2 linked regions of the Cricetulus griseus genome follow. The protein of the gene in region 2 purifies or fractionates together with the protein of the main gene of each other region. This does not show direct contact. Links are inferred from orthologs where the notes say so. Each region holds a gene or a part of one and is shown on either strand. Other genes may lie near its edges.

What was found.
Region 1: the proteins of high mobility group protein HMG-I/HMG-Y-like (region 2) and Ezh2 purify together in Homo sapiens (affinity purification with mass spectrometry; 3 studies listed by BioGRID and IntAct, with this or other methods). This does not show direct contact. The link is inferred for Cricetulus griseus from reciprocal best matches to the Homo sapiens genes HMGA1 and EZH2.

What each region holds. Positions count from the first base shown.
Region 1 is NW_023276806.1:222,414,142-222,417,593, forward strand, and holds the end of Ezh2 (histone-lysine N-methyltransferase EZH2), read left to right. Parts: intron 1-55; coding exon 56-137; intron 138-1,283; coding exon 1,284-1,364; intron 1,365-1,525; coding exon 1,526-1,610; intron 1,611-2,615; coding exon 2,616-2,676; 3' UTR 2,677-2,940; downstream 2,941-3,452. UniProt on the Homo sapiens protein: Polycomb group (PcG) protein. Catalytic subunit of the PRC2/EED-EZH2 complex, which methylates 'Lys-9' (H3K9me) and 'Lys-27' (H3K27me) of histone H3, leading to transcriptional repression of the affected target gene.
Region 2 is NC_048596.1:201,330,177-201,332,304, reverse strand, and holds high mobility group protein HMG-I/HMG-Y-like, read left to right. Parts: upstream 1-1,207; 5' UTR 1,208-1,284; coding exon 1,285-1,575; downstream 1,576-2,128. UniProt on the Homo sapiens protein: HMG-I/Y bind preferentially to the minor groove of A+T rich regions in double-stranded DNA. It is suggested that these proteins could function in nucleosome phasing and in the 3'-end processing of mRNA transcripts.

The DNA of each region.
Region 1 (3,452 bases), on a different chromosome or scaffold from region 2:
CCTAACAGGTGTGACTACTTACTCCAAACAATTTCCTCCTGTGTCTTCCTTCTAGATCATTTCTCAGGATGAAGCAGACAGAAGAGGGAAAGTGTATGACAAGTATATGTGCAGCTTCCTTTTCAACTTGAACAACGGTACGTGCTAAGCTGGAGGCACTTAGCTCCTTGAACAGTGGTGTGTTCTGAGCTGGAGGCACTTAGCTCCTTGAACAGTGATATGTTCTGAGCTAGAGGCACTTAGCTCCTTGAACAGTGGTGTGTTCTGAGCTGCAGGCACTTAGCTCCTTGAACAGTGATATGTTCTGAGCTAGAGGCACTTGGCTCCTTGAACAGTGATGTGTTCTGAGCTGGAGGCACTTGGCTCCTTGAACAGTGGTGTGTTCTGAGCTGGAGGCACTTAGCTCCTTGAACAGTGGTGTGTTCTGAGCTAGAGGCACTTAGCTCCTTGAACAGTGGTGTGTGCTGAGCTGGAGGCACTTAGCTCCTTGGAGGTGGTTTGGGATCTGATTGCTGGCTGAGCATTTCAGGTTGGAAGTCAGCAAGATGCCAGGAAGGGGCATGTGTCTACAGGAACAGCTCCTGGGATTTTTTTATCACCAGGCCTAGGCTCAGGGATGTGTGAGGAGAGGGGAAGTCCCCATGGAGTAGAAGGGTTATATGCAGGAAACAAGGAGCCCCAGACACTCTGGCTGTGAGGGGACATTGTCTCCCCCACAGCTGTAGTTTGTCTTGTGTTCCCTGGGATTTGGGGGCTGAGTAGCTTCAGCACCCGGTTAGTCACCATCTCTGATCTGGGAGCACAGGCAGCATGTGGAAACCTTGTGGCCCAGGGTGTTGTCCACAGGTTGTGAGGAAAGCAGCAGCTACCTCAGCCAGGGTTGGTAATACAGATATTCAGAGAAACTTTCAGCTGGACAAATAGAACATGTTTTCTTTCTTCTTTATGAAAATGTTCCATAGAAATATTCTAATCTTAAATCTCAATATGCCTACTTCTTGATATTCACAGAAATTCGGCAGGAATCCTTTTTTTTTTTTTTTTTTTTTTTTAGGCATGTTTTGTTCAGCAACATATAATTGAGAAGTCGTGGCATTTGAGAGCCATATTTAGCCACCAGGGATTCATTTTAATGTAGAATAGTATTTTCTTCCAAATGTCATTTTGTATTGAATGTTTTATTTGCTTTTGAGGTCAAATCCTGAAGACCTGTTTCTAAAACCATAACAACTTTAGTCCATGGTTGCAATTAGTCACTGGATTGTTTTCTTTTGTTTTTTTAGATTTTGTGGTGGACGCAACCCGAAAGGGCAACAAAATTCGTTTTGCTAATCATTCAGTAAATCCAAACTGCTATGCAAAAGGTAGGCTTTTAGGTTGGCACTGCCAATTTGATGCAAAAAATTCCCTTTTTTACCAGCCAAGTGATAGCAGACTTCAGTATCTCTGGGGCACCTGCTGTGTGAAGTCAGTTACCCGCCATGGCCTGTCTTCATGCTCACCAGCCCCGTGTTTCTCCTTCCAGTTATGATGGTTAACGGTGATCACAGGATAGGCATCTTTGCTAAGAGAGCTATCCAGACTGGTGAAGAGCTGTTTTTTGATTACAGGTTGGTAAAATAAACTTTTAGTATAATCTGCAGGCTTTCCCTTCCTGTACTGTGGGCTGAGGTCAAAGGCCGTTAAGTTCTTTGCCTGATCTGCTGTCATTGGAGAGGGCATTCTTTGAACTGGCCAGTCATTGATTGCTGTGGACACCAGAAGGGAGTTAAATGCTCCTTCAATATAGGTTGCCATGTGTTAATTATATAATGCTTATTTGAAAAAACAAACCCCACGCAGGAAGCTGCGTTGAACTCCCGGCTGTTGATGACTGTGACCCCTGGGTCTTATGTCTCACTTCACGTCGGTATTCTAAGGCACCCTTTCTCATTGGTGCAGTTTGTGTATCTATCTTCATTGCTTTAATTGTTGTCGTTACCCTGTGGTCACTGTGGAATCTTTTTGGGGAAGCTAGTACAACTGACAGTGTAGAGCTCCGCAGGCAGGAGACAGGCAGGAGACAGGCAGGCTGGCAGTGTGTTCTACCTGGCTGTGGGACAAACATGACAAAACAGTTACTTAAATGTGGTCAAGTAAAGATATCTAGTTAGAGAATTCTTGTAACTGAATATCCACCCCACCTAGAAACTTTAGTTGCTGAAATGGGGGCCTGTGTTGCTTAGTTCTAGTACATTGTACTGTATAGCTGGAGAGAATTAAGTGAGTGACACCTGGGGATTGGAATAGGGTCCTCATGCTGTGTCTCGTGCATGCTCTCAGTGGACCAGGGTTACAGGCAAAGGTGTCCAGCTTCCTTAGTGATGGGACTTTCCAGATCTTAATTTTGCTTTTTCAGTATTAGACACAGACATCACAATGTGGAATTGGCTCAGTAGAGTGCCACAAAGGCACAGGGAGGGCTGTGGGACTGAGGAGTGACAGTTGCATGCTTCCTCTTCATGAATGCAGCTGAGTGACGGGGTCTGCGAGTTGTCATGACATAATCCTCTCCATCAACAGGCTTGGTTTTCCTAATATTGGACAGTAGTCACTTCTTGTTCATGTTGTTTCAGATACAGCCAGGCTGATGCCCTGAAGTATGTGGGCATCGAAAGAGAAATGGAAATCCCTTGACATCTCCTACCTCTTCCCTCCTCTGAAACAGCTGCCTTAGCTTCAGGAACCTTGAGGACTGTGGGCAATTTAGAAAAAGAAAATGCAGTTTGAAATTCTGAATTTGCAAAGTACTGTAACAGTAATTTATAGTAATGAGTTTTAAAAAATCAACTTTTTATTGCCTTCTCACCAGCTGCAAAGTGTTTTGTACCAGTGAATTTTTGCAATAATGCAGTATGGTACATTTTTCAACTTTGAATAAAGAATACTTGAACTTCTTGAGTCACTTGTCATAGAGCGTCATCAACTGATTCTAGAAAGACTATATTCAGTGGGAAAACACAACTTAGCTTTGGTTTTCCAGTTGTCTATGATAAACATATTGGCATTGTGTTTGCCTAGATACAGTGATACCATTGCCTTTTAGTCTTGAGTGAATGACACTGGTGTGGGTCCTGGGCATTCATCGGGGAAAGTGAGTCAGCTTGTTACCCAGGAAAAGTTGTTCAACCTCCAAATCTGCTGTCCATATGTAAAATTGTGGTGTCTGAGCCGCGACTAAGTCCAAGTATCAGGCAAAAGCCTGGAGATTTAATTAGAAGAGACGTCTGGCCGCTTGTGCTATGTGCGTCTGTCTGACTTTATTCCAGGGGGAGAGCTGCCTTATATACACTTACAGCACAGTGGAGAAACCCCAGGTGTAAGAGTGAGTATTTTCCCAGGTATAGTTGATGCTAGTGGGGCGAGGCTGGGGCTGTAAGCCAGGACTGGAAAACAGGATGCACCTGTGGTTA
Region 2 (2,128 bases):
GGCAGCTTGGCACAGGGCTGCCATGCTCCAGCCTTATCTCCTGATCCATTATCTCTCTTGATAGTCACCTTCCAAGAGTGTCACCAGCACCCAGAGCAGGCGGGCAGATGGCTCAGTACAATTTAAGCGTTTTGCTTTTCTGCAGATTTTGGTCGATTTATAAACTGCAGGCCTAGGGAGGCGGCACGGAGCATCAGGCGTTCCCCCAAAGCAGGTTTTGGTTGCCGGAGGACATTCCCGACTATTTCAGAAGAACTTGGTGAGTCTTCCCCCACCAATCATATAGCCAATATTTATTATACAGCTTTGGATTTCACAATGACATTTTGATTCAAGCATATTATGTAGTTTGACCTTTCTAATTCCTTCATTAGTCTTCCCTGCCCTCCCTGCTAGAGCCCTTCCTCTTTCTGGTTAGATCCTTCTACCTTTATGACACATAGATATATGCACATGTATAGATACATCTTAAGCAATCTTAATGATCTCGAAGCCCCCCACAGCGAGTCCTGTGTTCTTCAAATCAACCAGCCTCATTTTTTCTTTTCTTCTCTCCCTTTTCTCTCCCTCCCTTCTTCTCCTTCTCTTCCTTCCCTCTCTCCTTCTTTCTTTCTTTCCTCTACTTCTCTTCCTTCCTTCCCTCCCTCCTTCCATCTTTTCTCCCCTCTCCTCCTCTCTCCTTCCCTCATCTCCTTCCTTTAGTTTTCTTTTTTATGTGTTTATTTTAAGATGGGGCCTTATATATCCCAGGAAGGTCTTAGGTTTACCCGGTAGGCAAGACTGGCCTTGAATTCCTGACCCTCCTGCCCCCAACCCCCAAAGTGCAGGAATCATAAGTGTGTTCCACCTCAGATATCTTCTTAAATAAATTGGAAATCATTTCACTTCCTTCACAATTAGTAGAGGCCTCTCGGGAGAAGAGGAAGCCCAAAGAAAGACAGCACCTGAGAGAACTTTATCTCAAGTACCCCAAGGCTCCGCCTAGTCCCCTGGGTGATGAGGGATGGGAAACAAAAGCCCTGGCCTCTGGGTTAGAAACAGCTAGGTTGCTTACCTCACCACAAGCAACCAGCTCCCGAATTTGATTTTTGAGAGGAACTGTGGTTTGAAAGAAGAGTTCTAGCTTTTTTTTTTTTCTTTTTTTTTTTTCTTAGCTCCCCTGAGCCGTGCTGTGCTCCTCTAACTGTGCTCCCCGACTCCGGAGTCGGGGCTATTTCTGGTGTTGGCGCTGCTCCAAGAAGGCCATCACAGCCAGTGCCCCCTACTGTCCCGTAGAGAAGGAAGATGAGCGAGTCCAGTTCAAAGTCCAGCCAGCCTCTGGCCTCCAAGCAGGAGAAGGACGGGACTGAGAAGCGAGGCCGGGGTAGGCCGCGCAAGCAGCCTCCGAAGGAGCCCAGTGAAGTACCAACACCAAAGAGACCTCGGGGCCGACCAAAGGGAAGCAAAAATAAAGGTGCTGCCAAGACACAGAAAGCTACCAGAGCTCCAGGGAGGAAACCAAGGGGCAGACCCAAGAAACTGGAGAAGGAGGAAGAGAAGGGTATCTCCCAGGAGTCCTCGGAGGAGAAGCAGTGACCATGCACAGTGCCGCCTGCTCTTTGGCCATCGAAGGAGCAGCTTTCCCTTGGGACTGGAAGCCCTGCTTCCAGGCCCCTCCCCACCCCCACTGCACACTACCGCACCAGCTGCAGGCTCTGGGGGCACCGACCTGAGCAGGATTTGGCTCAGCCCATGTGCTCTCCCAAACACACCTGCCCCCTCCCGACAAGGCTAACTTCCCATTTAGCCGCAGCCTGTGGTGCTGCGCACCTCTCTTAGAGAGAGTGGTCTCTGGGCTCTTTGTTTTGCAGGCCCTTTCTGCTCTGCTCTTCCCGGCTTCCTTGTAGAGGGAGGGTCCTGAGAGCATTCCCTGGCTTTAAAGGGCCGCAGCCCCATCTGACAAGTCCCATTGACTGGCCTAGCATCAGGTGTGGTCAGTACTGGGATGCTTAGATCCCAACATGCCCTCCCCTACCAAACTGTCACCAGGTGGGTTTCTCAGCCACTTCTGCCCCACCTTACCTAGGCCCTGACTAGGTTGGCTAGAGCCCCTTGGGCTACAGGAAGTAGGACATGATGACCCCGCCCA